Lepisosteus oculatus: one gene and its partner. The protein of the gene in region 1 purifies or fractionates together with the protein of each later gene. This does not show direct contact. Links are inferred from orthologs where the notes say so. Each region holds a gene or a part of one and is shown on either strand. Other genes may lie near its edges. The genes, in order: casp9 and dcc.

Evidence for each region.
Region 2: the proteins of casp9 (region 1) and dcc purify together in Homo sapiens (co-immunoprecipitation; 3 studies listed by BioGRID and IntAct, with this or other methods). This does not show direct contact. The link is inferred for Lepisosteus oculatus from reciprocal best matches to the Homo sapiens genes CASP9 and DCC.

The regions. Positions count from the first base shown.
Region 1 is NC_090720.1:10,959,076-10,976,492, forward strand, and holds the start of casp9 (caspase-9), read left to right. Parts: upstream 1-8,284; 5' UTR 8,285-8,364; exon of another isoform or gene 8,365-8,631; 5' UTR 8,632-8,632; coding exon 8,633-8,764; intron 8,765-10,241; coding exon 10,242-10,440; intron 10,441-11,116; coding exon 11,117-11,221; intron 11,222-13,625; coding exon 13,626-13,687; intron 13,688-14,648; coding exon 14,649-14,825; intron 14,826-15,416; coding exon 15,417-15,506; intron 15,507-16,415; coding exon 16,416-16,563; intron 16,564-16,754; coding exon 16,755-16,940; intron 16,941-17,417. Other genes in the region: dnajc16 (dnaJ homolog subfamily C member 16), read right to left, coding at 199-329, 1,751-1,909, 2,480-2,584, 2,836-3,020, 4,020-4,347, 5,490-5,556, 6,595-6,773. UniProt on the Homo sapiens protein: Involved in the activation cascade of caspases responsible for apoptosis execution. Binding of caspase-9 to Apaf-1 leads to activation of the protease which then cleaves and activates effector caspases caspase-3 (CASP3) or caspase-7 (CASP7).
Region 2 is NC_090698.1:64,869,715-64,886,257, forward strand, and holds the start of dcc (netrin receptor DCC), read left to right. Parts: upstream 1-8,237; 5' UTR 8,238-8,605; coding exon 8,606-8,696; intron 8,697-16,543. UniProt on the Homo sapiens protein: Receptor for netrin required for axon guidance. Mediates axon attraction of neuronal growth cones in the developing nervous system upon ligand binding. Its association with UNC5 proteins may trigger signaling for axon repulsion.

The DNA of each region.
Region 1 (17,417 bases):
TCTCTGTTCATCATCATAATCATCATGGAATAAGCTTGTATAAGTTAAAACCTTGAATGGCTGTGAGATAACAGCATCACTTTTGCATAGCAAATAAGAAACTTTATCAACTCTGTTTTGTTTTTTTTTTCATTTACCAGACATTTAACAAACTCTTGGCCTTGTGAATGCTTTAAAGCTAATAAAGGTGATACTTACTTTCTCCGTCTGTGGAACTGCTTCACAGGACAGAGCTCGTCAAACAGCTTCTGGTTCACCAGTCGAGGAACCAGGAGAAATCTGTTGTTCGAGATGAATTCCTCGATGATTTGTTTCTTCATCCCTCTAGCCTGGCAGACAGGAAACACAGATGAGAGAAGACAAGATTAAAATTTGCAAAACTTTTCAGTGTGAAGAATAATTAGGTGGGAAATGAAACACCTGCTGACAGGGGCCTGCTTGGTCTGAGCTGATGGAAAACAGAAAGCAGGAAGTCAATAATACTGGCAAGCACAAACAGCAAGTGGAGAATTAATATATGACACAATATATTTTCAAACTAGGTGATACCCTTAAACATGACATACTTTGCACGGTCCTTATAGACAACAACGTACAAGTAATTTACTGCTTGTGCATCTGCACTAGTCTTGCTGAGATGACTTGATGACAGAATCGGAGATGTTAGAAAACAACACGTCTCTCATCCTGTCCCTCTTCTGCTGTCCTTAACAGCAGAGAGAGATCAGGTCAATACGTTTTTCAAACCCTTGCCGGCTTTTTTCCTAATCCACACTGACAGTTCTGACAGTGAATGTAGCCAGCCATTTCAGCAAATAGTCAAGGATTTCAGAGGATAATGTGACTTTTTTATTAGGTCATTTGTAGACTTTGCCATTAGAAATAACGCATGCAGTAAATATTAACAGTCCTTGCAACTATTAGAGTTATTAAACAAAATCCATCCATCCATTTTCTAATCCAATGCAAGGTCACAGGGGGAACCAGAGCCTAACCAGGCAAGCAGGATGCACCCTGGACAAGACGCCAGTCCATCGCAGGACACACAGACACAAACACACTCACACCAGGGATGATGTTTAAAGAAGCCAGTTATCCCAGAAGCATGTCTTTGGACTGTGGGTGGAAACCAGAAACCCACACAAATACATGAGGGACATACCAACTCCACACAGACAGTAGGAATTAACGCAGTGCTATTAGACTTAATCTTACTCCATGTTTTCTACATGATTTCTTTTCTATATACTGTACTTTGCTGATTAGCCAGGGCTGGTCCTCCCACAAGTTACAAGGCCACCCAGTCTAACAAAAGCAAGCCTCATACAGTGAGCAAAAGACTAGGTACGTTTCCTCCCGAATACAACTGAACCTAGAAAGGGAGGGTGTCCATCCTCCAAAGGGTGCTATTCATCGATAATACCATATTATTGATATGAATAATTATATCAATTACCGTATATGTAATAATAACTTATAACATACAATAAATTAATTACATATGAACAATATGATATCAATATCTTGTTATTCATACCAATAACCTCTGACAGCTGACAGATCCTACAGGACATTATTTGGAGATAAAGGCATTCAAAAATAAAAATAAGTCTTTCTAGCTTTCTCTATGGGTGAAAGTACATTGACTTCACTGGTCAGATTTCCCAACACTCTCATGTATCAGGCGTGAATTAGCACCAGCTAATATCCAGACTCTAGATTGTGGTGGCAATACAAATACAAAACGTACCTGAATGACATCGGCTGGTTTCTCAATGTTCTCCTTGAAGAGGAGCATGGTGGGGGCGTAGCTGTTGATGTTGAACTGTCTGAGCAAGCTCTCAGTCTCAGACAGGCCTTGGTCCACATATCCAAAGCGGACAAAGTCCTTGTAGGCAAACGCCGTGAGCTGTGGGTGAAAAGCAGGTGTCAGAAAGGAAACCAATCACTTTGCCATCCAGGCAAAGTCTTGAATTGCAGCAACCTGAAAACAAACAGTGCCTCACTCATGTTTTATTTTAAGAAGGCCATGTCATCAGTAGTTAGCACTAGGAACACACAAATCAATACTCAACAGCCCGGGGAAGGATTTTGAAGTTGCACATAAAACAACACAAGGATGACTTTATATAAAGGCCTATCATTTTTTGTTTTGCTAAGAAACAGTCAGACTTTACACAACATACAGTGAGAGGGTGGTCTCCCAGCGTTTTAACAGGGCTGATCAACCCCACTCTGCTGTCTCTGGTTTGTCTAGATGGCTTGATCTCGTATAGACAATTTAAAGAGAAACCACAGACCAGCTGCTTGAACGCATCCTCCAGGTACTGAAATGCAGAGTGTGTTTGCCACACCAACACACTTCCTCACTGAACATCAGGTTGTTGCAATTCAGTCTGGAAATTTGGACAGTCCCACTTATACTATTTCATCTCATGATGTTTAGAGCTATGATTACTACATAAAACACATTATTTACCTTGTACAATAAAGGCACCACAGGTACTTGATCAAACAACAGCACATGGGGCTTGTTCTCTTCATACCAGCCATTCAGGAACTGGAGGTAATTTTTACCTGTTACCTACAAGCAGAGAGTCAAAAACATCAGCACAGAAGATGAAGATCTAGACATCATAGAAGGAGGCATACTACACATATATAAAACACAATTCTTAGAAAGAGGCTTTAAACAGGGAAACGTCATTTTCCGAGATGACACTACTGGTTGGAGCTTAGTGTTCTTCTTCAGTCAGCTGTAACCATAACTTCTACTTTTTGTTCCAAGATGTGCAACCAATCGGTCTAGAATCTGTATGCTCTTGCTGCACGTACCTTCTCTACCAGTCTCTGCGGCAACAAGTTCTCCACAAACTGCCTCAGATGCTCCCTGACCACGGCATAGTGGAAGAAGGTGACTTTCCCGTTGATGAGCCCCAAGATGGATGGGGTACGGTGTGCCCCCAAGTGGTTGGCCAGACGCTGCTCATAACCGACATCTACTACGCCAATCCCCACACCTGCAGTAAGGAAGCAATGACCCCATGTGACCCACCAGCATGGTTAGCAGGTTCCTTTTCATCAGGCGACTATTTTAGACGTCAATGACTTTGGTTGGCCTCCCCCCCGATTTGGAGAGAGTCTTTATTATCCCCGGGGGGGGGCAAATTGTTTTACAGCAGCAGTGTTGACGTACAGATGGAGAGAAGGAAAAAACAAAACGACAGGAACAACAATATCCATACATATTTACCTAGAAGGTCAAGTGTTAAGTAACGATATGGCTACAGGTATGAACAAGAACTTGAATCTGTTGGTTTTGGAGTTGGGGAGTCGGTATCTGCGTTCTGATGGGAGTAACAGGAAGTTATTAAACAAGGGGTGTGAAGGATCGTCACAGATTTTGCTTTACGCAAACCACGTGAATGATAGATGGAGGAGAGAGCTGGAAGATCAGCACCAATGACCTTCTGGCATATTTTCACCAGGCTGCCCAGTTTGTTCCTGCTTCTCAATTTCAGGTCGCCAAACCAGCAGATGAAATCAACAATGAATCATCGACCTTAAAGTACTTAAGCTTCCGCAGGAAAAAAAGACGTTGTTGACCTTTACTGAGGATCAGGTCAGTATTGGCTTCGAAATTAAGCTTGGAGTCCAGGACAGTCCACAAATACTTGTATTGTTCTACCAGCTCCCCTGAATCTCCCCCGATGTAGGTCAGGGTGGGAGTGGGGGTACTTTTCCTGAAGTCAGTTATCATGTCTTTGGTCTTGGACACATTTAGCTTGAGGACGTTCTGTTCACACCAGGTGGCAAACTCATCAACGATGGGTTCGCGACTCCACTCGCTTGCCTGCAGCAGGCGATCACTGACAGAGTCGTCTGCCAATCTGATTCCGTGTCTCGAGTGGTGAGAGCTCTTGTGATGGTTTGCGAGAAGAACCAAGAGTAAAGGAGACAATACACATCCTTGGGGGGGGGACCCAGGAGAGGAATGCTTTTTGTGGGTTCAAACTTACCCAGCGCCTCCAGCTCCTGCACGGTCTCCTTCCAGACCGGCTCGATGTGGATGCAGGTGAAGCACCAGTCCGAGGTGATCTTGATGAGGTACGGCCGCTTGAAGCTGTCCGGCACGATGTCGTTTATGTACTGCGTGTAGTGCAGCGCGTACTTGCTGTCGGCAAAGTCCCTGCTGCCTTTGTTGAAAGGGAACTGGAAGAAGGACTCGTCGAAGTAGAAGCTGTCGTGGAAGTGGCGGAACTGCTGTCGCTGCTGGGCGTAGGGCTGGTTCTCGTCCGTTTGCCCAAAGCGGTCGTAGTTCGCCCTTTTCTCTTCGTTGGAGAGAATCTGGGAAGAGATCGAAAGGCATGGGCGCCACTTGGCACAGGTGTTCAACGATGCCTTTTAAACATCGTCTATCTGTTCTATTTCTTTGGGGATCTGTCAGAAAAGGGTGAATGCGAGGAAACGCGCCGACTTTCAGTAGTGGGGCTACCTTCGTTCGAACAATGTGTTGAAAACTGAGCTAAAGGCTAACATGACATGACGAAGCATTCCTGCTCTAAAATACAAGACATTTTCCTTGACCTGGTCCTTTGAATTGCTTCGGTAAACTGTATGCTGACATGTTCTTACTCCGGTTTAATTAAAAGGTGCATCGCGTCTAATAATGTTCACCACATTACACATGGGGTTACAGGCATTGCCTTTGCCCCAGTACTCTTTCACTGGACACTGAAAAGACGTCTTGGTGTTCACCTGGATGGGAATATCTATAGTGCATTTTAGATCATTTGTGCATAAGATCAAGGCTCATTAATATGGTTGACTTTGTATGCAATTCCTATTACATGAACCATATCACTGTGGTTAAAAGCCATCAACGTGGCTGTTAACAAGCAGCACGTGTTCTTGTCCGCTTGTTCAAGGGCCACTAATCAGGGATGTCTTCCCTCAGCTCATTGGAGATTCCAGGCTATCAATGTACTACTTCCCATCACTATAATCGACTTTCCACATTATTTTAAATGTATTGAGAACAATCACTAAGTGCTTCCTTGGTCACCATTTATTTTAAACCAATTCCATTCACATTATTCCCATAATATTTCAAAATAAAACTTACAATAAAGACTACCTTTAGCAAACCCAAGAACATCTGACGTGAACCCGATTCTTCTGCTAGAGTTGCACCAAGACAGCTATGCCACCGCACTGAATGAACCAGGTTCATAATATCTGGGATTCCAGGGCTACAACTACATAGAAAAACAGTACCACTGGCTTAAAGTGTATTTAAAGTGTATTGACTACATTTAATCAATATCCAAATTCACCCAATTATCCAAAAACTCAAATGCCACTACACTACCTGTAGCTATAAGGAAGATGCAATCTTATATCCGGTAGTTTAGATTTAGTTTTGTCAGACAGCTTATTTTAACTTCCACTCAAAAGTCATCAAGAGAGAAAATGTTAAAGGGGATTACCTCATAGGACTTTGTGATCTTGATAAACTTATCCTCTGCCTCTGGGTTTTTATTCTTATCTGGATGCCTTGAAGGAAAATAAAAAAAAATAAGTTGTACTGAGGTTTATTGTGGACGTACTTGTAATGACACATTAAAGACTTCCTTTAACCAAAAGTATTAGGAATGTGAGAAAAGCCATACTCAAGCCACAATTTCCCACTGAGGAGTCTTTGAAAGACAGAACTGTCACAGTGCAATTTAATCACTGTGACCGCAGCAGCAGAATATATTTCAGACTTACTCTTGGATACTCTCCTTGAAATTATCTTATTAAATTGGTGTCACACAAAATACCCATTTTTTTATATCTGGCTAAAGTCTGCCACTCTCTCGACACTGCAACATGTGCACTTATGAAGATTTTATATGTGGTATTTTTTAATATTTAGGTAGCCAATCAGGTACATTTCAGGTTTCAGACACAGCGATAACTGCTAGATACTTGTAATCTGTAACTGACATTACATCTGTAAGTAGTGACAGCAGCTCTACAATAAAACCTCCAGCCACACAAACGTTAGATCCTACAGGAATATGCTTTAGCAGACTGCAGACGTCTGTCATCCAGGCAGTGGATAGAAAGTCCAGGCTTTAGAGAGATAGGATGGACAGCTGTGAGTCACAGTGGCCCCGGGCTCTCATCTGTTTGTTCATAATACTTTTAAGAAGCCCAATCACCTGTCTTTCAAGATCTAAATCGGCTGCTGCAAATTCTCCAAGAATCTGACTCCTGCCAACTGGAGTGCCCCATGTCAAAGTTTACTGGGCAGTTCAGCGTCAGCAGAAGGAAAGGACCGATCTGTTCTGTTCAGAGCCCAACAACTGCAAGAGGCTCTGTGGCTTTCTGTGGCTCTCCACAGGGACATGAAAGGAATCAAAGCTGAACAACCTGCCAAAACTGACACAACAAGGGTGTATTTCTATTTGATGGAAGGGACCTCAGGCAAAAAAAACCTCTCTCTCATTAAATAGGGAGTCTGTATTTTACCATTGGTACTATACATTGGTCGAAGATATGAGCGAATTTAAATAAGCAGGAATTCTGATTCTATCTGCTTCTCACCATTCTTTGGCCAGGCGTTTATACACCTTCTTGATTTCAGCCTGACTGGTGCTCCTGGAGACCCCCAGAACCTTATAAGGATCAAATTCAGCAGCACTCTCCACAGAAGGACTGAACAGCAGCAGGCAGAGAGACAGAATAAACAGCAGGGTCAGGAAAACCCCCTTTAACCAGGTCATCTTCTTGTGGCTGAAAACACAAGGGAAAGAGAGAGAGTCTGATTTGATGCATCCCTCTATCCTCTGTCAACAGCCACCTCTTCCTGAGAACACCAGATCCAGTCACAGACGCCCAGGGTGAAAGACAGACCCACGCCTTGGATGAGACAGCAGTCCAGCATGGGACAGAGAGACACAAGCACACAGGGACATTTTGAGATGCCAATTTACCTAGCCACTGCATCTCTGGGATGACTGGATTATCCGAAGCACAAGGAGAAAAACTCTCCAACCATGTCATGGAATGGGAATATTCAACCCATTCCTTATGGCAAAACTGGATCAGTTCTGACACGTTCAGCAGTGATCACTGATCAACTTCAACTGTTATGGTTTGCTTTAATGCTTAATTCCTGCTTTTCTGGGAAGTTTTGGGGAACTCGTTTTTGAGTGTTCAACTCAACTCTTATGTTTAAGGTTGGGTGGCTTTTTGGTGGAAAAAAGCAAAGTCCCCTGCAATATGAACTGCTATGAAACCTAGCGTTTTTAATATTAGACTTCAAAGACGGTAGTCCCCCATGTGTTGATTGGTTAGCTTGATTCGAATTTAAAATCCCGTTCATTTTAATATGTGATGAGAGGATATTTATAAACAAGAAAAATGTACATACAAATAAAAAGGTTGTCTAATTTGACCTGACGATTTTACCATACATTCCGTACGACTAGAAATTATAAAACGTAATAGTTTAATGCCTCACCATATTTATAATAATAACAGCCCAAAACGCACGACCTTACAGGACAGAAAACTCTGCTGAACTGAACACAAGATCTCCCGTGGTTTAAAAGACTCCAAACCATTTACAAAGTGTAATCAAATACATTTCAATACCTTGAAATACACTTCTTTCTAGGGACAGTAGGCAATGTAACACTGAACTACCGATACAGTTTCACAATGTCAGGACATTAACATAGTTTTCAACTTAGACAAAACTAAAACGTGATTCCGCACAACACAAAAAATAAAAGCACACGATTTAAAAAGACGTTTAAAGTAAACGACGGTACCACTGGCGAAAGTAAGCATTTGGGAATTGCGGTTTTCTGTTTTCGTAGCCCTCGATTACAACACCGGACGAGTGACTGCTTGGGATATTCACATTACGACCTTCAGACGACAAAATAAAAACAGCATTTTTATGGTATGACCGACAGCTCTATAACGCACTAAACCGAAGAAATGCATTTAACCCAAAATAGAAAATAAAACTACTTATTCCCCGGAGCAGTTGTCAAACCTTGCAAACGCACCACAAGCAAATCGCTGGCTCAGTCGGTCCTGATCACCATGCCGTTACGCACCCTCGTCCCTTCTTCTGTTTTCTATCAAAATTCGCTCACGGGTCACTGCAAAAAATCAAAACACCGGCAATTTACTACAAGCATCCGAATTGCACGACTACGTTTTTTTAATCAAAACGCTTCCGGTCAACCGGCGTGATGACGTCATTACGCACTGGGCGTGGTTCAGCCATGCAAACACGGAAGAAAATAAAGGATGCTTTTGGAAGACGGCAAGAATTATTACGGAAGAACTTAGGAAAATGTAAAGAACGTTTTAATATGCTTAAGTGGGGTTAAAGGTGCTTGGCTACTGTAGCTTCGGTGAAACGCCCCTTAGTCTGTTACTTTTCTTTTCGTATACGATTGCATGATGGAATTTCCTAACTTGAACAACTAAATTCCTGATTTCGGCATTTCGCTTTCGTTTCGGTTAGGATGTAGTTAGTGTTCGACGTCCAGTTTAGGCTGAACTGAGCTCACGTTAACAGGTTAAGAGTCTTAATCCGCCCCCTCGGGCTCTTGTTTGCAGAATGGATGGCAGGCACAAGAAGATATTACAGAGTAATCGATCCATGCTTGTACAGCAGTTGGATCCCTCAAAACTGTATGATGGACTTCTGTCAAAGGGCGTCTTCACTCAAGACATGATTGATGAAATACAGGTAGGCCTTTAACACACTCAACTGGCCCATTCACAACCACATTTTGAGGTGCCTCGGTTATAAAATAATTCCAACACTGCTGGGAACGTATCCTTGAGATATTGGCAATAACCAATACATTGGATTAAATAATCAGTGTCATCTCCTTATTTTACAGTTTTCACAGTGTTTTCTTCATATGCACCTTAATTTATGTACTCTCTGGAGGAATGTGTTCTATTGTTACAGAGGGTCATACAGTAACTAACAGGAATCTGCAACCTCTGTCATAGAGCAGCCACTGTCCTGCTGGTTTCCATAGTAGCTTTAAATAAAAGTAAGTAATTAATTGATTGAGGACAATCAGAGTATAGCAAAGGGTCTAAAAGCATGTCATTACTGGCTATACAGTATATAAATGTTTTTGTAATAATATTCCAGAGATCTGCACAAATAGTCTTGAAGAGCCACAATCTCTCTTTGTTTGAAAATTATATTGAAAGGTGCTGACCCATATAAAGGTCATTATTATTAGAAATAGGAGATGCAAGATCTCCAAGACAAGATGTGTAGATCCCTGGAATGTAATCTCAAATATATATAGTCAGTAGTGGAATAACAGTTGAGACATGTTGCCTAACAAAAAAAAACAATAGCCTGAAAGGCAGTTCTCTAATCCTTTTTGGTAGGTTCCTCAATAAACAGGCAGAACAAACTAATAAGTATAGACCCATGTCACCTCGATTGAACCTGATCAGTGCACTATAGCTGTGTAAGTGCCCAGTTCCTTGCTTTAGTCATTGCTACTGACAGGGATACCCAAAAGACTGTGACTCTTAAGACCAGCTAAAGGTTGCGCTTCTTTTGGAAGAAGAACACACCCTTTCACAGTCCTAGGTCTTATTAGGACAACATGGGTGGAGTGGTGGCTCTGTGGCTCAGGATCTGTGCCTGTGGCTGGAGGGTTGCTGGTTCAAATCCCGCTGCAGGCAGAGGAATCCTACTCTGTTGGGCCCCTGAGCAAGGCCCTTAACCTCACCTGCTCAAGGGGCGCTGTACAATGGCTGACCCTGCGCTCTGACCCCAAGCTTCTCTCCCTGTCTGTGTGTCTGTGAAAAGACACATTCCTAATTCAAGAAATTGTAAAGGCTTAATAAAGTGATGTTATTATTATTATTATTATTATTATTATTATTATTATTATTATTATGATAGCACCAAGTTGGAAATGTTTCAGCTTTTTAAAATTCCAGGCATGTGTAATTTAATACAATAGTTGGTCCACATTCTGTCTGATAAATGTCCTCCACAGAACAAGCAGGAAACTTTCAGCACTAGGTTTTGGTTTTTACATGAAAGACTGATCAAATCTGAAACAGCTCAAACTGCAACTGAATGGGAGTCTCCTCCATGTCACTGTGATCAGAAGTGTGACGCAGGCCTGCAGCCCGGGGGCCTGTAGTGAAGGAGCTGCTGTTCTCTCTCGTGTCCCCCGCAGAGTGCCGGCACGCGTCGAGACCAGGCCCGGCAGCTGGTGAGAGATCTGGAGACCCGAGGCAGCCGGGCCTTCCCAGCCTTCCTGGAGTGCCTTCAGGAGTCCGGGCAGGGTCACCTGGCGGACGCCTTGCAGAAGGGGGTCAAGATTCAGCCACCTCCACCTGTCCCGGTCCAGCCTGTTCCCATCCCTGTCCTAAAGTGTACGTGCCAAGTCCAGTATTTCTATGATTTGTCGCTCGTTCTGTTTAGTTCTTCTTTGTTTTAATATTGCCAGCAGCCATATCACCCTGCGACTCACAGCTGACAGCCCACTGAAGCTCAGCAGGTGTGAGCCTGGTCAGTACCTGGATGGGAGACCTCCTGGAAAAGACTTAAGGTTTCTGCTGGAAGAGATGTCAGTGGGGACAACAGCAGCTTGTGTGGGTCCTAATGCCCCTGTCACTATACTGTAAACAGGCGCCGTCCTTCGGATGAGATGTAAAACTGAGGTCCTGACTCTCTGTGGTCATTAAAAATCCCAGGGCGTTTCTTGAAAAGAGTATGGGTGTAACCCCGGCATCCTGGCCAGATTTCCCCCTGGCCCTTACCAATCATGGCCTCCTAATAATCCCCCTCTATGAATTGTCTACATTACTCTGCTCTCCTCCCCCACTGATAGCTGATGTGTGGTGAGCGTTCTGGCGCACTATGGCTGCCGTCGCATCATCCAGGTGGGGCTGCACACTGGTGGTGGTGGAGGGGATCCCCCTTACCTCTAAAGCACTTTGAGTGGAGTGTCCAGAAAAGTGCTATATAAGTGTAAGGTATTATTATTATTATTATTATATTAAGAAAAAGTGCCACGTACTGTAACGTGTCTGGTGTTTTATTCAACAGATCCCGATGGAAACAAAGAGATACCCGATAGAGGAGACATACCCTATCATCAAGACAGGCCTACACACAGCCCAGATAACGAAAACTATATGACAACCAGCTATCGTAAGAAATGTTCTACGGTGTTATGATATACTGATGGAAAGGTGCTCTCTTTCTACTAGGAAAAGTTATAAAGTTTATAAGGTTATAAAGCTGCTTCAACTATAGAACTGCAGATCCCTTTTTTTAATTTAATTGTAGCAAGTGTTAAATTGCTCTAAAAATACAAAGTTTTTTTTCCGTTAACTAAATCAGCAACTAATTTATTTTTTACTCAAAGCACATTTTGGAGTAGAGCCAGGTTTACTGTTATTTACTTCAATTAACCTTTTAAAGGTTCATCAAAGATTACCATGTACTGAGCATGCAAGATGTGCTACATTGGAAGAGGTGTTAGTGGGGCCAGCAGGGGGCGCTCACCCTGCGGTCCATGTGGGTCCTAATGCCCCAGTATAGTGACGGAGACACTATACTGTAAACAGGCGCCGTCCTTCGGATGAGACGTAAAAACGAGGTCCTGACTCCCTGTGGTCATTAAAAATCCCAGGGCGTTTCTCGAAAAGAGTAGGGGTGTAACCCTGGTGTCCTGGCCAAATTTCCCATTGGCCCTTACCAATCATGGCCTCCTAATAATCCCCATCTATGAATTGGCTACATTACTCTGCTCTCCTCCCCACTGAGAGCTGGTGTGTGGGGAGCGTTCTGGCGCACTATGGCTGCCGTCGCATCATCCAGGTGGGGCTGCACACTGGTGGTGGTGGAGGGGATCCCCATTACCTGTAACTAGCTTTGAGTGGAATGTCCAGAAAAGCGCTATATAAGTGTAAGCTATTATTATTATTATTATTATTATTATTATTATTATTATTATTACATTCTATCTAGCTGAGGAGCTGTCTAACCCTGGTCCTGGTGGGCCAGTGTATCCTAACGAGCTCATGACTGTCTTAATTGGACCAATTTAATAGATTTATCAGCCATCTCTTTGGGTGCTGCAGTTTTAATGACACTTAGAAGACCTAGGGTATAGACACACCAGTCCGCCAGGGCCAGGATTAGACACCTCTCATCTGAAGAGACAAAACAGCTTTCAGTGATCAAGTTTTTCAAGGGAGATATTGTCGCATACACAATCCTCTGACAGCTGAAATATTCTGTTTTTTCCAGGACATTTCACTTCTTTCAGTGAATATCTGGAGAAAGTAAGGCTTCTGCTGTGATGTTTTTTTGCAGATGAAGCTTTTTACACCACACAACTGTTAAGCTCCAATATCCACCTCTTTGGGGGGAATTAATTGATTTTCTGTTAGGGTCTTCAGTGACATTACAGGTGGTACCGAAGACCCTAGCTCCATCACTGTGTTTGTATACATTGTATATAGTACCGACCTGTCTTTGGACCTACCTAGATGCTGTAAATGTCATGGTAACATACATTGTAGTACTTAGAATCACTTGAAGAAACTATGCACACACTTGTTGTGTGATTGGAAGTGCTGTAAATAACTCTTCAGCACTGCACTAAGATGCAAAGACATAAATAGTATCCTAAGAGTAGCATTATGTGTTAGTTGTGTTGTAACAGACAGATAAGTTCTGGACCCCGAGATGAAGTTGAACAACTGAGTTAATTGCATGCAAGGAACAATAAGATCAAAGAATTGTTCGAAGATATAGGTACAAAGCTCCATTTTATGTAGCAAACTTCAGCTGTTTCTGACGCAAATTGTTACCATGGTAATGGGGGGAGGTCACCTGTGTTAGGACTTTCCCAAGACCTTAAACACTTTGAATGGCCAGTCTTATCTTCCCAGAGTTAGGGAGTCTCTACCTCGCACTTGGAATCTCTTATCAGTTCACTCCCATCCCTGCCATAACTCAGAAGTGCTTAAGCATGGAATGTCTTGTACCAAAAGAAGTCTTTGTGCAGAAAGAAATCAGTTAACCCTTTTTTCACATCTTATATCTTCCATCACAGTTGTTTCTGGGCATTTTCTGGGTTGATAAAAAGATCTGCTGCACAGATGATATTTTAAAAATATGACAAGAAATGGGGGCAACAGCACACAGAGAGCTCAGCCTTGTGGAAGATGCTGTTCCCACCTCTATAGTTACAGTTTCTGCCATCAGGATTTATCCCACTGGAGGTCTACCAGCACGGATAAACTGGGTCGAGACCTCAGCAATCAAACACACAGCCCTGCTTGCCTGGTCCTTCTATGAAATCACAGTCTATAAGTATGTCTGGGACATCTGTGCAGTGCTAGCTTTGTACTGTAAGTTGACTTTCCTGGAAACCTCAGGACACTGAACCTTCTTGTGCTCCTGTATTCACACCCCTAATTTAAAAAAACTGTGGTATCTAAACCACCACCCAAAACACCTTTAAATAGGGTGATAATAATATCAAGCTGAGGGTCTTTGTTGTTTCAGAATGTAATTAATAAAGGCTTATCTCTTGCCTTAGCATCTCAAAAGGATGAACTTGATCCCAAACCACAAGGGAGACCAAGAAGCAACAGCCTCCAGGTAATTAGACCAAACCACTGAAATACTAATTATTTACACCGGGGTTATGGTTGTTTGCTTGTCTGTTCGTTGTGATATATTGCGATACTGTGATAAAATACCCTATTTATAGTTTAGATCAATTGTTTTGTGTTACTTATTCATATTTTAAACCGTTCAGCTTCCCAAAACATTTGACCAATTGACAATCATCACAAAGCGCAGAAAGCCTCTAAATGAGAAAGGTGTCAAAGTCATTTCAATGAAACACCTTTAAAAGCTGAGTGAGTTGTCAGAGTATTTTGTGTGCGAGAAAAGATGTTGAGAAGTATCCAGCCAATTTCTGGGACATTTCCACCTATTTTTTTCTGTTGATCTGACAGTACACCTGCACTTTTGGAAGACAATTTTGAGAGAATGCTGTATATAAAAAAAAAATTCAGACCTGTTTCCAAATCTGTTTCAATTTGGTAAGGCAAGACAGTTTCACTGAAATTCTTCAGTATCCTGTGCTCCAGTATTCATTTATAAGGACGTTACTGCGCCATCTTGTATTGGTACTATAGTTCATGCTCATTCTATGCAAAAGGTGTACTGGTACAGAATACAGCATAGAGGTATGACACCGGCTGTTCTCAATCTACAGACTTTAAAGGCAGTCTTTGTCAGCTGCTTTAATAGCCTTGGTAATCTAAAATTACTGAAAGGCATCAGAGTTTATTCATCCACGGTGAGATATGGACACTCAATAAAAAAAATCAGGAAACAAAAAGAGATCAGAAGGCAAACAAACCAAAGCTGCCTTCAGCCAACTGAGGCAACTGATGAAGTAAGGCTTAAGATTTCTTGAGACTTTCAGATGAAGGTCCTTGTACCTATGTGAAACTCATATATTACCATCAGTGCGACTTTTTTCATCTGAATGTGTTATGCCTTCAGTATGTACTGTAAGATAAATACACCCTCTCATGCGTGGTTTCAGGTGTACAAGATGGATCACAACCCGTGTGGGCACTGCCTCATCATCAACAATGTGGATTTTGAGCGTCAGTCTGGATTAAACAATCGCACAGGATCCGATATTGACTGTGACAGACTGGAGAAAAGATTCAAGGCCTTTAACTTTGTTGTCACTGTCAAGAGAAACCTAAAATCGAAGGTAAATTGAGAAGGCTTGCATATAGCCAACTGTATTGACAGTTTTAGCAAAAAATCCTGCTGCATGGATAGCCTATGTAGCATCTGGGATGGGTGGATGTTTGTTTCCGAAACATTAGTTTTTTACGGGACAGGGTTGTTAGCCTTGTGCCCAACCTCCAACATGGATTACCTGCCGCCCGACGTGGGACATGAACCCACTACCCTGAGATTATGAGTCTCACACTCTACCAACAGAGCTAGGGCCCCCTGTAGCGTTTGGGGTCATTGTTTATTATTGCGTGTTTATTAAAAAAAAAACAGCGTGTTTTTGAGTGGCTCATGACTGAACAAATTCCTCCTGCGCGGTACCTAAAAAGCAACGAGCAACAGCAGAGTGGTAGGACCCCTCCATCCTCCTTTCCTTTTGAATAATTACTTTTTCAACAGACCTGTTCCGTTTCACCCCAAATGTCAATGATTTGCAGTGCAAAACAATGCAGAATTTGAAGAGATGATATCCTTACCTGATGTATACCCATTTTTTTTAAACCTACATTCTTCTCATCTCACCTAGAGCGAGTGATTAAAGTATTCTCTTGTTCCCATACAGCAAATCAGACAAGAGCTGACTGCTTTGTCAAAAAAGGACCATTCAAGTTATGACTGCTGTGTGGTGGTCATTCTGTCGCATGGATCTGAGGTAACTAGCACCTTTAAAGGGAGTGAAGACGGGGTGTTTCCCGAGAATTGTAGGTGACGCAATTCACCTGCTTTGTCCATCCGCTGAAGAAAATAACCAGTTTGCAATTTGAGAGTGTCAAAAGTTTCCAAAACAAAATGTTAGCTAGATGTGTGAAATGTATTTATTATTTAAACTGATTATTTTCAGCATTAGCAGCACTAGTAAGGTTTGACATGTAAACACTTATTTTACCATTGCCATGTTGGGAAATGAGTTTACCTTGGGGGAAATGCAGCTCCATAGTTATGTAACAGTGGTACAGTCTGAGGGGGCAGGGCTATACGGTATCTATTTAGGAGGGGGGGGAGATCTAACAGGAGTTTTGTCTTGCTATAGCTTCAGTGGAGAGCTGATAGGACCTAGGCGTGGTAGGACTCCTGGTCTCTATTTCTTAGAGAAAGGGTTCATTTTTTGTGGGTGTACTAGTTCCATTTTGTTGGGGATTTTTTGCAATATATAATTGTTTGTGAGGAGCACTGTCCTAATAAACATCACTTTTGCACCTCACCTAAGTGCAGTTGTGGCTGAGTCATCATTCTGTTTTAAAAGGACCCCTCCTGCCCTCCCTGTGACATAGGCAAAGGATGCCACCAGAATCACAGCACTTAAAAAAGGAAAGAGGACACTGGGATGTGACACCAGCCATGGGCCATCTTTCCTTGTGTTGAAAAATAAGGGAAGGAGTGACTTTTGATCACACACTACAGGCAGAACATTAAGCTAGCACACAAAATGGAGTGGGGATCTTCGTGTTTTATAAATAAAGCCTTTCATTGTGTTCAATAACGCTCCCAGCAAAGACAGCTTTCCCTGCACCGGTGGCTGACTGCATGGAAACCCTCTGAATGTGTTAATTGTGTTCTGCAGGCAAGCCACTGTCGCTTTCCTGGCGCTGTCCACGGCGTCGACGGCCCCATCGTTGCTGTTCAGAACATTACCAATTATTTGAACGGGCAGAACTGTCCGACTCTGCAGGGGAAACCGAAGCTTTTCTTTATCCAGGCCTGTGGAGGAGGCAAGTGCTGGTTACCTCCTTTGAGCGAAGGGTCGGAATCGTGTGGTCCTCTGTATGCAAAATCGGAACACCATGAGGAAAAGATTGAGAAGTAGATATTGTACTGAACTGCCTGGCAGCTCTGTTGTATACAGGAAATCTAACTTTCTGGGTAATCAAATAGAGGAAAAATATCTGCCTTATTCTTGCAGATGAAAAGGACACGGGATTTGAGGTCTCAGAGGGATTTGGGCCTTCATCAGGTGGCTTGGATGACCAGACCGATGCCATGCCCATGTCATCCAGCAGCGATTTGCTCAGTTTGACTGATGAAGTCGACGCCCGGGCATCCCTCCCTACCCCCAGTGACATCTTGGTGTCATACTCTACTTTTCCAGGTCCCGTAGACGCAGTTCGTATGAGCAGTCTGTGTTGTGGTTTGACATTGCAGTTTGGGGTCTTGTGTTTATGATCGGAATGACTTTTTTTTTTATTGCTGGCAATACAAAAACTACAGAAGCCATTGCTGCCATCAAGGGAAAAAATATCCCCTTAATTACGAGATAGCAGTGATTACGTCAGTGTGTGTACAACCTGTTACACTGTGCACTGAACCCATTCAGAAGCTACTGTGGCACTTTCGGTTTAATGAAACTTTCAGTGTCGATGTCCAGCGCCGCAGAATTTGTACGGATCTACTTTCGACTGGGGTTTAGTCATAATGACATCTTGCAATTTTTAGCCGATATGAACAGAATCATTATAAGCACGAGGACCAGTTTTGTGGGATTTAGAGATCAACGCAATGATGGTTCTGTTATGAACAGTTACATGTGCGGTCAGTCCCACCGCTTAAAACCGTAAGTCCGCACGTA
Region 2 (16,543 bases), on another chromosome or scaffold:
TAACATGAAAGTGCATTAAATTGTCTCCCGGAAGAAAGCATACTATTTCCCAGAAATTCAACAGGAATTAATGCAAACATTTAGCGCATCTGTTAAGTAGTTCAACCTATTGACAGTGATCTCACAATATAAAATAAAACATGTACTGTATGTACCCATTCTGTTGATTGTTCTCCAACATAACACACAAAAAAGCAAACACAGAATTCTAGGACTACATAACCTCATTGACATCATCTCTAATTTGGGTTTCGTCCTTCAGCTAATTTTCAGCCTGATAATCATGCAATTTACATCAATTAGTTAATTATCTCTTTTTGTTTTTATTATCCTCTCCTTTATGTACTCCATAGTGTGCTAGACAACACAATGATTGTCTAAATTTGATCTGTGGTAACCTGACTTAATTAGACTACCAGTAAGTGAAAATGCTTAAAAACATGAATATTGTTTCGTTGCTTAAAAAGATGTAACAATGGCAACAGGATCAGTAGATTAGCTTCCTTGTGGAACATACTGTATATTAGAAGCTATTCATAAGTTGTGCTTGCTAATGATATAGAAATTGGAAAATATCCAGCCCTCATTGTAACAAATAATATTTCTTTTGATTTGTCTGAATTTGGTCATTAATGGAGTCAAAATCGTCTGTGCAAAAGCAGAATAATCATGCATTGCCTTTCCTCATTATTGGAAGGCTTTATATCTCAAATATAATCTATGCCTGTTTCTAAGTCTCTTTATGGACAACATTAACTTTTCAGATAACAACAAAAAGGAGAATTACGCTTCAGCGCTACTTATAAAAGCATTCTAATAGCATCTTAAGCAAAAAGGGGTCATTTAGGTGCTAGAGGAAAAAATATTTTCATGCTAGAACTTTTGTGTTGCTTGTCACTTAAATCATTTACAGTAAGTAATTTAAACTAGAAAACAGATAAGTGACATGTTTTTCTGAAGTTATTTTTCTTCAATATTTTCAATGATCCATTGTACAGTATGTATTGCTATAAGACAAATACTATCAAGGTCTTAAAAAAGGAACAATCTGACCACAGGCTATGAATTTCCTAGGTAAATATTGGTCAAAAGTTATGTTTAATGGAAATTTTGATATTTAAAATGTTGAAGGTGTTCACTAAACAGACTAGACGATTTTTGTCTTATATTCAGTACATATTCTGTAACATTCCTATCAGAAAGTAGTCACCAGGAAAGGCATGACTGATGCACTGGATTCTCACATTTTGATTCTGCTAACATTGGTCATTTCTGATGCACTCAATAATCAGGAAAAATAAAATCTTGACAAGATTCATTCTTCAGTAGTTCTGGTTCATAATCTAGTGAACTTCAGTCTTCTTGTACCTATAAAAAGTTTTTACTGTAAAAAGAAAATAGACTAAATAGAGCATTTGCTTTATCATGCTTGTTTTGTTGCTTGATGTGTAGTTCAGGGCCCTATGCAGATGGTATAATCTGTAAGTAAGTGGAGAAGGACATTAGGGATGGAAACGAAGAGGATCAGGATGGGTTAACAGACAGGGGTGCATGACGGTGGTGATCCAGTACTCGGGGGGCATGGCGATGGTAAACAAGTTCAAACAGTCCAAGGGAAGATCCGGGGGTGCAGTCCAAAGTCCAGATTTAAATAAGGAGACAGAACAGGAGGCAGGTGCATGTAGTCAACTAAAATACGAAAGAGCCAGAGCGTCCTTAAGAGGAGGGATTCTGATCGTGACATGATGTTTACTGAAACAAGAATCATCTAATACAAGCGTACTACTCTTAAGGAGAGATATAGACATTTATAATGCATACAACAAATGTCTGAAGGATATGTAGAAGCAGAAGGGAGTTAGGAATAATAATGTTCATTCTATAATGTAGGACAAAGAATGTGGAGACTAGATTTTTCCATTTGGTTCAAATAACAATGGAGAAGTAATGCAACTAGGGTCAGAAACAAAAGCATTCATTTGGGAAAAACTTGTCTTCCAGTGGAAAAGATAGTATGTGGTAGTTCATTTTCTTCAGCTGTTGAATATTGCAGGAGCTCAGATAAACAAAGCTGCAATCATATTTTTTCAACGTTTTCAATTTTTCTAGTTCTTGGAAAACAGTTCAGTCTGTTTGTGTATTCTGAAACCATATCTCTTGACCTGTGATATGAAAATGAACTCGTCTGTTTTCTCAGATAGAATGAGGGGTTAGCTGGATTCACAAACTAATCTCATTATCAACAATGCATAACTTTTGCCAACTTTTAAAGCAGCGTGAACTTGCTTGCGCTGTATGTATCACGGTTTGCTTTCCTTCAGTCTTCACTGAATGAACTGAAATTGCGTATCTTTATGAAAATGCAGGGTTATCTTCTTTAAAGTTTCAGTGATTCAAGTAGAGAATATTCATCATCCTTTGAGTTATTTGAACACTACTTACTAGGTTTGGGCATGTGAGAGTCTTGACTTTGCAGACTACAATAATTTCAATAATCATTATAAGCAGAAAGAATGTTTTATGGGCTTTAAGTGTTAGTTTTGATGTACAGTAGTACTTGTGTTTTATGATATACTGAATTTTAGTATACTGTATTGAAGTTTAAAGCTCACCTGGAAGTAATTTATACCAAGTGGATTTTATAATATTTTATTTTCTGATTGTGTTTCGTAGTTACATCTTTGCTGGTACACTAGTGTGTGAAATTACTTTTCCCCACTCTGACTCTTCAGTGTCACATATGAGACACAGCAGCTCCTCTCTGAAACCTGTTAGTTCACCTGGAATCTTCACTGAAGCTCAGTATGGTGAATATGAAATTCAGAAAAGGTTTTCAAACAAGAAGAAGCCTTTCAAGCTCATTTTTCTCATTTGGTTTCTGGTATCTGAATAATATAAGTCACAGTAGGTCCTACAAAAACACTCCTTCTGTTTTCTGTCATAAAAATGTTCATAAGTATCATTTCTATTTGGGTTCATGAATGCCCATATCAGCAGTATAGATTTTGAATATGTCATAGTTCTTTAACCCTTGGTTGTAGATTATCTTGGATTCACACAACTTTTATTTTGAGAATTAACCTGTGTTATTTTTTTTCTATCTTAAGATGTTATCAAAGTAAGATTGTTTGTCTGAAATTTCTTTGCTGAATTTTGTGCTGTTTTGTTTTTAAAGAACACATTAGAGATTTTCCAATTAGCAGGCTGTAGGCACAACCCCTGCACTGAGAATAAATGAAATCTTGTAGTTAGTTGCCTATGAATAACTTAGGTACAAGTGAGAAAATACCATCTGGCCTAGATGATTTGTTTTAACTTCTTATAGATCAAACACTTCATCCTCTGTTATTCTGAGATTTTAAACTAAATTGTATTTTTTCTACAGTATTGTTGAGTAATAGTTCAAAATAATTATTCAGAGTTATTTACCACTCCTTATTGTCTAAAACGATTTATTTTGTACACATTTTGTTCTGATTGTTCCATTTATCTATTTAGTCCAACAGTTTTGTGCCTTCAAATATGTTTTTAAAATGTATGCATCTTTCGTCTACTTATTCTAAATAAGACTATATTATGCATAAACGACTGAAAATCCATGTATAAGCCCCTTATAACCCCCAATATACAAAGGGAACATGGATACAGAGATAATAACCTTGTAGTCAGTGATGTACTAACAATCAATTATATGGCAATTTAGTTAACTAATTTATGACCATATACAGTATGTATGGATATTGTATTGTTTGCTTAAGCTTTAACAGCAGTGTGTGTTACAGTATGTAATTCTTAAGTGTGATTTGTAATGTACCTCCAATAATAATGTTTCCCGAACTAATTCAACCCCGATCTCCTTCTCTTAAACACTGTCTCATTCCCTTAAAATAAACTTTTCTGAAATTGAGATTTTATAATGTCCCTCCAAAAATTAACTCATATACACTGTGGTCAAATTTACCCAAGTCCCCCTTTCCCACCTATCGTGTTTATGTTTGTATGAAAGATCAGTTCAATGTAATTATGTTCTCTTGCTTCTGACCTGGAGCATTGACTCAGAAAGGAGTCATTCATTGTTTTGCCCAGATCTGTTTGTGCTTATATTGTATGATTGTATATTATATTACAGTAGACTGTAGTTAGTAGTTTGACTCCAGACATAGTGTGTATACCCAGAACCCCAAATTTAACGACAGGACTATTACATCATTACCTATGGCTATGGATGAACTGTGGTTACATGCTTTGTATTTTCATTTATTTTTTATTATTACTGTATTTAATATGGTGTTTTTCTAATAAAGAATTGGAGTTCAATCCACAGAGAATTAACACTTGCCTAAAGAAGCAACAGTTGAATTTCTCCCTGGACAGGAACCTACTGTATAACTCTCCAGTTTATACACTACCATCATCACCCACTCTTCAGTGCTGCTGACAATTCCTGTGGCTGATTCATGAGTTGACTTTTAAGACATACGGTAATTATAATCAACTTATATAACACAGTGTCATGATAAAGTGAAAAGGGGGATTTGTTATGACAATTTGGACAACTGTGGTACTGATTTGCAAAATAAAAGTTTGACTTCTTTTTCAGAAAAACAGGTGTGACACTGGAAAGAAGGCTTAACTACGAACACATTTCTTCTTTTTCTCGTGCAAAAATTAACCTTTTCTTGTTCCTTTGAAGCCAATGCCCACTGACACAGCTCTCACAGCTCAAAAAATGAGCAAACAAAAAACATGTCAAACTAAATCTTAATAAGAGTCCACCGATCCTGGCATTTTGTTTAGATTGAATCATATATCTGCTTGAGTGTTGTAGCGGCAATGCTTGTTAATAAGACAGAATTAAGTGTTGCTGTGCTTTCCCAAATGAGGCCTCATCTCTCTGTTCATCTCTGTGGTGCAGCCACAAAGAAACTATTCATGCAGGCTGATTTAAAGATGTTTTCTTTTGATAAGGGATAGCTCCCAAATAGGAATGCACTTAGCTAAGCCTGGCTATCATGATCAATGGTCATCCATTGGCGCCTATTTGTCTAGGGAGTGCCAGATGGACATCTGGACTGCATTCCTAAGTTTCAGGAGTAAGTGACTCATATCTCACCTTGATCAACCAGTCTGGGACTGGTAGGGCTGAGTAACCCACGTGAGACTCTGATGCCCATGAAACTTTCAGCCAATGAACGAGCTGAAGTTCCTCCAGGTAAAAACAGGCAACACAGAGGGCCTGAGAGACTATTCTGTGGACTTTTCTAAAGGGAATTCAAAGGAGAATTCCAGGGCAGGACGGCCCAGGAGCAGAAGGCTCCCAAGGGCAGGACATTCTCGCAGCGTGCCTCCTGACCATCCTGAGACTCAGCCCGGACAACCACGGAACGGCCAGTGTGTCCGAGTGCCAGGCCTTTCCTTTGTTCTAAGAGTCTAGAGCGGAGGTTGCCAGAGAGTAACCAGAGGATCCACCCGAGGTTAGCACCAGCAGCAGGCCTCGTGAACAGGTCAGAACTGTGGACAGCTGAATCACTATTCAGAACTAGCTCTTCATCAGGAACGAACCGGTCCTCTTCCTGACTTGCTGGGACCCACAGTAATCTTTTCTCCTGTGCGCAAACTTTGCTAGTTAAAGCCAACACTAACTAGCCGGTCAGTGGGCATCAGCAGCGCACTGTCACAAGCCACACAGCACAGCCTGGCACCGAGCCAGAGAGCGCGGATTGGACAGCATCAGTCTGAAACTGTTTCTTTGTGCCCGCAGGAGATCTGAATCCCCAGAGATTGGATGAGTATTCAACTTCAATGCATTACAGCTTGAGAATTAAATTGTTATCCCAACCAGTTGATATCAATTTAATTCCTAAGAGTTATGTACTTGTTTTGAGTATCTAATGTAGAAGTTATAACCAAGTTCATTTACCAAACGGTCTAAATGAATGATGTACTGAACGTATGTCCTCTTGATATATGTAACACTTCGTAACTGACTGAATATATACCTTTTGTATTCTGATAACCCTCTCGATAAGATCTGTTAAGTTTACATGCATATTATATGTATTAATTAATGTATCCTCGTGTATTAGTACCTGTGTGTGTGCGTTGTTTGAGTTATATCGCATGGTTGGATTCTAAGGCCATCAAAAGAATCATTTTGTGATTTACTGCTACAATTAATAATTGTCCCAGTAAATGCAGAAACCCTACAGAAGTGGTGTCTTCAGAGAGCACACTACAGTGTTTTGGCAAGTTTAAGTTAAAACATCCAGTATAGTCTTAGTAAGAAAGGACAGAAATATTCAAAGACTTTATATTAAGCCAAACTCAGCAAGCCATAATAAATTAAGCATGGTTACTTACACTGATTTATTTGCCTTAACATGTCTGTTTGTTTTTCTTTTTTATTTACCATACTTGTATAATGAATATACAATAATTGTTCTGGCAAGCAGTTACTTGCAATTTACTATAACTAGCATTTCATGATATTCATGTAAGTGTACAATTGTTTTTTTGTCACAGAAATAAACAAATTGTACTTAAAGACCAGGTCTTCTGCACTCAGTCGATTTTCTTGCTGCTTTATCTAATACAGGGATGCGGGAGAACTAGAGCCTATTAATGCAAGCAAATGCTGCAAGGTGGGTTACACCCTGGACAGGACGCCAGTCCATTGCAGGTCACACACATACAAAAACTAGCCAGACTAGGACGAATTTTCCCAGAAGCCAAGTAACCTGCCAATATGTTTTTGGACTATGAGAGGAGACCAGAGCGCCAGGAAGGCACCCACACAAAACAGGGAGAACATACAAACTCTACGCAGACAACACCCAAGTTCCAGAATTGAACCCAGGACCCCAGCACACAATGCGCCATAGATAGGGAATTCGACACTGTCTAGGTTTTCATGGAAGATGACGTCACTTCTCGAACGTGCTCAGTCCACTGAACCAAATTGCTACATACTGTATAAATATATATTTTTTTCTGTGCGTGTTCACCAAACACGACGTTTTTTTAAAACAATTGGCATCCAGTCAAAGTTTTAGCTGTTCACATGTATTTAATTGTAATATTTTATTTTCTTGATTTAAATCTACTGTATAATGGGTAGTTTTTGTAACAGGTACGTATGTACCGTTCATTAATTGTAATTCCTAAAGCTGTTTCTCACACCTCTGGTAATTCAAGTTTCAAATTTATCATGTAGACATTATCATAGAAAAATGTTTGCAACAGGTTTCATCGATAAGAACGATAACTTAACGATTTTTTGAAAGACGAAGATGTAGTGGTCTGTTGCTTATTTTGTCCTACTTTGGCAAAATAAAGCACTGCAATCAAATCTTAAGAATTTAACCCAGAAAGACTTTATAACCAGCCACTAGTAGTAAAAGTTTAAACTTATGACAGTTCAAAACGTAAATGACACAGTACACAAATTAATAAAAACACGCATTCATACTAATGCAAAATATATACATTTCAGATCAAATAAGATCTCCTTAAATTGCATAAAATGATCCCTGAAAATTACTATTGATAATATTATCGATAGGGCAGTAACAACAACAGTAGTAGTTTTAGAAAGACAGGTTCGCTTTTTAAAACAAAAATAACAGACCATCTTACGGCTTTGAACAATGTTGGAGTTTTAGTCTAACAGTTTGTCACATTGCCTCTTTAACGCATTAAAAAATAGTACAAATACGGATTATGCTGTGCTTATTTTCCAGCGCTCGAATCCCCGAGAACAAGTTTAATTTAGGATATATTTATATATTTGTAGCAACAGCGGTAGTATATTTAATCTCGTGATTTTTTACAGTATACTCTAGTATTTTACTATTGGCTAATCCTTAAAGCAATTTATTATAATTCCGAATATTACACTGAACAATACACATTCACCAAAAAGAATGCTAATAAAGTGATTATTACTATATTTGAGGTCAAAACACCAGCGTCAATACAGCCACTACTGTACTGTACATGCCGGGGCAGTGCACTTAACAGAATCCGATAACTAAAGCTTGCAGAAAGGTGGAAGATGCATGCAGCCTGGTTGTTTCGTTGATTGAATATGGCTCACATTAACAATTCACATTCTGACCAGAGATGGCAAGCGAGCTCAGTGATTCCCCGCAAAGCCTGCTGAAAGATCGTCTGTCCCCCCCCCAATACATGTGTTTCGTTGCATTTCGGTTCGTTCCAGCTGGAGTTTTCACCGTTCTTTACCTCCAGCCCCTTTAGATCAATGGATTCACATCTCGCAACTCCCTGCTCAAAGAGTGCTAGTGGACAGCTCCCGTAACAAGTGAACCTCGCCGGTCCTTTCCTGGGTCTGTCTGGCGTATTTTATTACTCAGCTCGTGGAACACCGCAAGGATGGAGCAGCCACGCATCTGATTCAAACTTGGCTGTGCTCAGAGGAAGTGCACAGAGAGAGAAACGTACTTCTGTAGACTTGTTCAAATCCATTGGCTTTTGGTGTCGGTTTTCCTTTCTTTCTGATGCTCATGAATTGAATTCGAGAAATCTGCGTTTGGAAGAAGGATCTGTGTGATTGTGGGACAGAACCGCTCAACGGTAAAGCGAAAATATGGAGAATACTATTGGATTTATTGGGCTGAAAAAGCTTCTTTTTGTGCTGCTGTGGTTATCTTTTCTCAGATGCGACACTAAGTCTTACGGTAAGTCGATAGTTTGATTTTGCATTCAAAATCATAGGGATGGCACAAAATATTTTGTTTAATGTTTAAGTAACTTCACCTTAAAACCACAAGACAGGGTAAGTAATTACAGGGCAGTGCAGCTAAACTATACCATGGTTGGCGTTTTATTTGGAATGGTAAAAATTGTGAGAATGGTTGAACATTGTAGGGTAGACCCCGATAAAAAATGAAAGCGATATTCCTTAAAAATAAATTCAGTTTGAAGTAATGTTTCTCATTACCTTCCGTGATTTTGTTTTCATCGCCGCTTTTCATTTTGTATCTTCTTGTCTGACTACTGTGGACCGTTTCTAAATCACGAAAAGAAGAGTATTGGACTAATGAGATTCAGAGATAAGTAGTTTGGTCATGTTTTTTTAACCTGTTTTACAAAGATGTTTCATCTGCACAAACTTGAACTACTTATTCACTGGGTGGAACATAAGTTGTTTTGTTTATTCCGCAATCCAAATGTATTTGTGTCAAATTATAAAAATTAATGACTATTTCCATTGGTTTTCCAATGATCAATCATCAATTTTTATGTAGCAATCTATTACTATACTGGAAAAGTTACATTGAACAAAGAATACATTTCAGTATGCTAAATTTTAATAAGAATCATATGCACTTTTGTGCAATGTATATCATAAACTTAATTTAGGATTGCATTCTAACTATAACAGAGCATTTAATGTATCGGTGATTAACAAAAGCCTTTCAGAATCCGTCGAAAAATGTGCATACCTGTAAATACGTCTCACATACTGGTGTGTCTGTGATACACGGAACCTTTTAGGTATCAGTTAATCTATACGTTTCTAGGTTCGTTTATTTTTATGGTACCTACAGTAATAAGGTTGCTGTTAGGCATAGTTATCTGCTAAATTTTGTTTGGATGCATTAGAAGTGCAGTATCGCCACTTGCCTGTATCGAATAAAAGCTTTTAAGAAGGCGAGAATGAATATGAATGAAGATATGCTAAGAAATTCCTCCTGTAGAATTCATGTACACCACTACACACTAAATATTTGACTTTTATCTCTCAGAGGTAATACTTAAGGTGCGCGGAGCGGGTCATAGCGCTTTAGTTAATGATATGAATTGATTTAAAGAGATTGGAACGAATTACAGTACTACTTAGAACCTTCACTAAGCATGTAGTCTTGGGTGTCGTTATAATCATCGTTATTATTGTTTCACATCCTAGGTCATATTACTATTAATAATAATGATGATTTAGCTGATACTTGGTATCAACATGCAATAAACTGTAAGTGTTCTGTTTGTAATGCAAGCACTTTTAGATGGCTTTAGATTTGCGTTGAAGGACGCGGAGTTCGTGCTAAAAGATAAAGTGCACATAATGTTTACATTTTTGACCGAATTGAGTTCCACAAATAAATCACCTAACAGTTTGATTAATACTCTCTTCTTAGGAGGAACGTGCAGTTTGTGAACCTCAATATAGCTGATTGTAAACTGCACCAATAAAACATCCGCTCGCAACCTGTCACGGTGAATGTGGTATATTAGTATTCTCCTCTAGTGCTAGAGCGCCGAAAATTATTCGATGCGGGGGACATTTACTATAACATGCGAATTATTAGCAAGACGTGGTAGCAAGTTTCAAGCTGAAAAGCCTGCCATGGGAATCTAAAAAATCAGTGAAACATTGTAATCGTCCCATGCAAACGTGTGTGAGCGGCGAATAAAAAGGATATCTAAGAAGACAAGTACGGTTTCTACTGTACATACTGTATGATCATATTAACTATTACAATGTTGTCGATATGTGGTAACCATGCAGTATTACAATAATTCAAACTTCCAATGCAAAAATGCATTTTTATTCTCAGTGCTTCATACCGTACAGTATGTGTAGATCACTTTTTGAGCAGACTTATATTCATAGCTTTTCTCTTCAACCTCTTAAAACAAAGATTGAAGAACCATTAAGGAAACGTATTGTCCAAATGCACCAGGTTGTGAAACCAGCGCCATACGTCTCTGTAAATCCTCAGCTCACACAACCGCGGTGAACACGGAAGGTTACGGAGAGTATTGAGTGGGGCAGTCCTACACAGTCGGAGTGGTGCAGTATAAATCAATTCCTTTTCGCTGTCTCCATTTTCAAACCTACATTGCTTGCCCTGCGTAAGTGAAGCCCATGGGGCTCATACAGTACGTAATGCATGGAGCGTGTCTGTAAATAATTGTATAGTTTTATCATTTTTAAAGATAAAAACTTTATTTTGTGAATGTATACGGGTTCGGTGAACCTTTATTATTTAATGGTATTTTGTCCAGACGAATTCAAGCACATTCTGCTGCTCCCCATTAGCGCACTATGGTATTCGCATTTATTTCCACAAAGGTACATTTTGAGTTGATGGTCTATTCTTTAACTTTTTACTCTGTTCTCTCTTACCCTTTTTTTTCTGTCTCACTCATTTTTTTGCGTTCTTTAATATAATAAAATACAATTACAAAAAGCATAGCACCTTATTTCTTTTTAGATTGCGTTTGAATGAGCAAAATCAGAGCATTCACTTCGAACTCAATAATTCAATATCGATTTCACGGGGCAAATGAGCAGTGGCTTTACGAATGCAGGTTTTACTGTTCGGCGTTCTCAAGTGAATTGTTCATCACCAAAGTACTTGAAATAAACGTTTTCCAATGAAAGTATTACTTTTCTTATACAGCTGAAGAGAAGGTGATGTTTAATCACGGCACTGATGCAAAGCTTTGCTGATTTTTTGTTACGCTAGAAACATTGCTATAAACTGTAAACAAACATCTATAAAAAATGCCGTTTGCTCTATTGCTTATGTAATGGCAGCAAGAAAACAGCATAATCTGCAATGCCAAGAACTTTTTAGAATTTGTCTCTCTGTGAGAAACTTAACTGGAGCACAGTATGCTTTGTTAACCTCAATCTTGACAATATTTATGCAAAAAACAACAAATTTAAATGTAGGAGGAACCCAGAGCACCTGGCAAAAGCCCAGAAGAACAGTGAGTAAAGTCCATACAGTGAGGCCCAATCTTGAACTGAACCCTAGGACCCTAATCATTTTTTGCACCAGTGATTGATTACCTGCTGCCAGATTACATAGTTGATTAACATTAGATACCTGTATATGCACTTTCCTGCACTATCCCCCTTAAAGATACATTTCAAAGTAAATAAAATAAAAGTCCTGGTCTTGGTTGATAATATGTTGTTTTTTTAAAAGAACACCATGACTACAACAAGCATCTTAGATAGGAGACTCCCATTAAAAGTTGGGAGAGTCACAATGGGATTCACTGGTGCATCTCCAGAGGCTGTATTTCCGTTACGAGATGCATGTCAGTGTGGTTCCCCCAGGAAGGTCATGAGTTTACAGCAGCGTGGTCTGATGAGACCGGGGTTGATACCTGACCAATGATGCTCATCACTGACTCAACAACTGCATTTTAATGAGATGTCTGCCTGTATAAATTACAATGAGAAACCACTCAGCAGGGTGTATTGGTGTGGCACAGGACAAATGTAATGAACACACCAAATAAACAAAAACATTGTTCTCTACTTTAAGTACTGAAAGTAAATGCTGTCTAATTAATCCAGTTTCTGTAAACTATGTTATAATTTTAGAACATTACAAAGGGTAACAAAAAAAGAAGGCATTTGGTTTTCACTGTAGTCCCATAGCTAATATTTGTTAATTGGAAACCACCCCTGAGTGTGGAATCTCTGTAAATCCCCTCCTGGAAAGCTAATCAAACTTAATTTGCATGGATTTGGGAGTTGGGAGGAAACCAGAGCACCTGACAAACCCTAGAAAACTCAAATAAGACACATGGGAGAAAAATGCAAGTTCTGCACAGATACAGTAGGTACTGAAATGATCTTAGGACTCTGGAGCTGTGAAGCAACAATGCTAGCCTCCATGTCACCATGCTGTCCATATTGCTCGTATTTCATTAAAATACACGTCAGGAGAATAGACAGTGTGGTTGATTACTAAGGCAAGCTTTTAAGTAGCAAATATGGTGGTCTTAACTCATTATAAAAACTAAATGCTCAGTGTTCAGAAGAAGAAGGCTTGAGGGTATACAGATCTGCTGCCACTGACAGATACTACATTCTAAAGAAGTGTGTGGGTAAATGGGGAGTATCTCAGAGTAGCTACTGCTGCTCTATAGGTGGACAAAGAGATACACTAGTAGTGCTACACTTACATCTGAAAACACCGAAGTAAATCATACTCTTTAACTGAGATAGTTAATTAACCTTTTCCTTAAATCTTCAGAAAAGAAAAGATTTGCAAAACTCCAGCATTATTTTTCCTATGCTCCACTCCCAAAAATATAAAGGAAATTGTGTTTCTTAAACCGGGGCGCAGTAACCACATGCTTGTTTATACGGGGTACTCTGCTGTAGGTGAAATGAAAATAGTTTGCCATTCAACTAATTTAGCTCTGTTCATAATTATTGAAAATTCACACCAACTGAAGAAAATCAAGGCTTTAATTAAACCATTCCTTCCTTACTTCATTCTATGTGGTGTCTTACAATGTCTTCCCTCTTAAGTAGATATTAAACTGATGTACTTCTTCTATTTTATGTGTGGCTGTTTGAGGTTTTTTTCATATTGGTGAAATAATGGTTTGCTTTTAACAGAGGTCTTACCTTTACTAAGTACAGTTTAAAGAGGGATATGGAACAGATCTTAGATTTTTTTCAACATTTTTTTGTATAAGTCAATAGTATATTCAGAAATGAGAACATCAGTAAAATATATAGTCAGTTAATAATACATTAACTGACTTTTGATTAGTTTAATATATAATAAATAAATATGTCTTTCAATGTCAGGACATGCTACTTGATATTTTGTACACTTTCACTGGTGTGCAATCTTAAGAGAAAAACAACAGCAACAGCATATGATTTAAAAGCAGACATTTATTTCAAATGCTGTTGTTTATGTGTACTCTCAGTTTGAAGTCTTGAAGTAAGGTAACCTAAGACACCCATCTCAAGTGATGAATGCAGACATACTGTAACTGCAAAAGTGGTGAAGCCACTTAATATTTATGATCCTGAATCCAGAAAAAAAATGTCAGGCACCATATGCGCAATTGCCTTTTAGATATGATTCCTTTTATACACATCATTGTAGACGAATCTTCTGTGCATGTGGAGAATTGCTGACTCTAAAATATTGGCTTTGAAATTGATATTGATAATGCAGTATATTCTATTTTAGTGTCTTTGTCTATTTGTATGGAGAATAGGAACTTCATATGCCTCAATTCATGTTGCTCTGGTGGTGTCCCATTTTATCCTGTTTTATCATTGTAGGATTATCCCATCATTTGGAACTATAAAGCACATGTTACTATCTGCATAAACCTATCCAAAAACATATAATATCCAAATGAAATATCTCTATTGCTTGATCTTAAGTACATTATCTTACCCTATGCCCACTAGAGCCAGTGTGGAGAACAAGGTTGCTTCCATGCTGAAAAGTAGAAAGAAAGTATTTTAAACAATGCTTTAGCAGTGGAGCTCACATTTCAAGAAAGCCACACAACTGAAACATTGTTTTTTCTTCTTTATACTTTTCACTGTTAATTCTGCCTCTACATATTCCTTAATAAAGTGTGCCTACACACTGGCACAGCTCCGAACTCGAGAACTCTGCCTATGGACACGTAAGGTACTTAAGATGTAAGGAGTCAATTGAGTAGAAAACAAAACACAATGTAATAATATCACTTTCCAGTTTTTATAGGGGAGATACAAATGTTATCACTTGAGTGTACTTTTAAGAATCTGATTAAATCTGATTTAATGCATCCTGCTTACTGTGGGGTCTTGTGAATTTACAGTTTAGCACTGGGAGTTAGCTTGTTTTATGCCATCCTCTATTAGAAAACTATCACAATATAAACCCTCATATACAGTATACCTGCAGGTTCAACAGTGCCAAAGTAACAAGGAGCTTTTTGATGCTAGTCGTTTGCCATTTCTGTAACATTATCCTATTCTTTTTAATTGGTCTAACTGACTGCTCTGCTGAAAAGGCTTTGGGGGAACAAAACTGAAATTCAGTTACATGAGAGATGCATTGAATCAAATTCTTGTGTCATTCTGCTGAACAATAGCATTCTGTTATGTGCATCTGTGGAAGACTATGGGGTGTTTTAAAAGCTTAACACACACAAAAGCAAAGCAGAGAGATACAGTGGCTTTGTGATTTATTTCAAATGATCTGCCCGCAAGCTATAGGGTATCTCAGTCATTTTTACAAAATGTGGCATTTAATTAAAAGACTTTTATTTTCATGTGGAAATATGAACAGTTGTTCTAATTCTACAAATCAGATGTATTCATATGAGATTTAATTCAAGTATACTGATAAAACACCCTGTGTCTCAACAGCAGCTCAGTGGTTGGGAACTAAAATCACACGTAGATTATATAATAATAGTAATTGATTACACTTATATAACACTTTTCTGGACACTCCACTCAAAGCACTTTACAGGTAATGGGAACTCCCCTCCACCATCACCAATGTGCAGCATCCACCTGGATGATGGGATGGCAGCCATAGTGCGCCAGAACGCTCACCGCACACCAGTGGGGAGGAGAGCAGAGTAATGAAGCCAATTCATAGATGGGGCTAATTAGGAGGCCATGATTAGTAAGGGCCAATGAGAAATTTGGCCAGGATACCAGGGTTATACCCCTACTCTTTTTCGAGAAATGCCCTGGGATTTTTAATGACCACAGAGAGTCAGGACCTCGGTTTTACATCTCATCCAAAGGACGGCGCCTGTTTACAGTATAGTGTCCCCGTCACTATACTGGGGCATTAGGACCCACATGGACCACAGGGTGAGCACCTCCTGCTGGCCCCACTAACACCTCTTCCAGAAGCAACCTTAGTTTTTCCCAGGAGGTCTCCCATCCAGGTACTGACCAGGCTCACACCAGTTTAGCTTCAGTGGGTTTTAACCCTGTTTGTCTAGGATGGATCACCCGGCTTTGGACTTTTGCCTCCTTTTGGATTCTCACTTGGATTTATTCCTGGATTGTTTGCCTCGGCAGTGCACCATAGACACGACCCCTGTTTTCATTCCCGAGTCCCGCATGCTTTTTCCCCACTCTACCCCGGATCGTGTATTCTGCATAGGGTCCTGAAAGAACGCTTTTGTTACACAAAGCACAGTTCATAGTATATGAATTCAGTATTGTAGGTGAATCTTTCCTATTGCTCTATGCAGCTATTCCGTTAGCCTGTTTGACATTATTTTATAGTTAGACCATAATGGCTCTGTCATAATGATTTGATTAAGGGTACTCAAAGAAGTGTTTTTTCCTTTCATATCCTTGTTTTAAAGCACATTAATAATCAAGAAGGTGTAGTTAAATGTTAATCTCCACAATAATTCCACACCATACTACAGGAATAAGGGCTATTCCCTTGATCTTCTCCAGTGGGATTTCTGTCGATTAAAATAGGGTTCAACACAGCATGGAGACTGCAATTTAAGTAGAGATCAGTTTCTTTCTTGTATACAAATGCAATGAAAGCAATAGAATGAAAGCTGAACCTCGACACAGGTTTGCACAACGTGTGTTTGATTCAAGCCACTTAATTAGGGGATCTTTGAAACCATGTGGAAAGTTTTGCTTAAGTTTAAATTGTTAGCTGCAAATTCAGCTTTTTTGTTTTGTTTTTTGGGCTACATGGAAGGAAGCCTTTTAATGCAGAAAAAATGGATTGAATTGAAATTATTTTTATATTTATTTTCT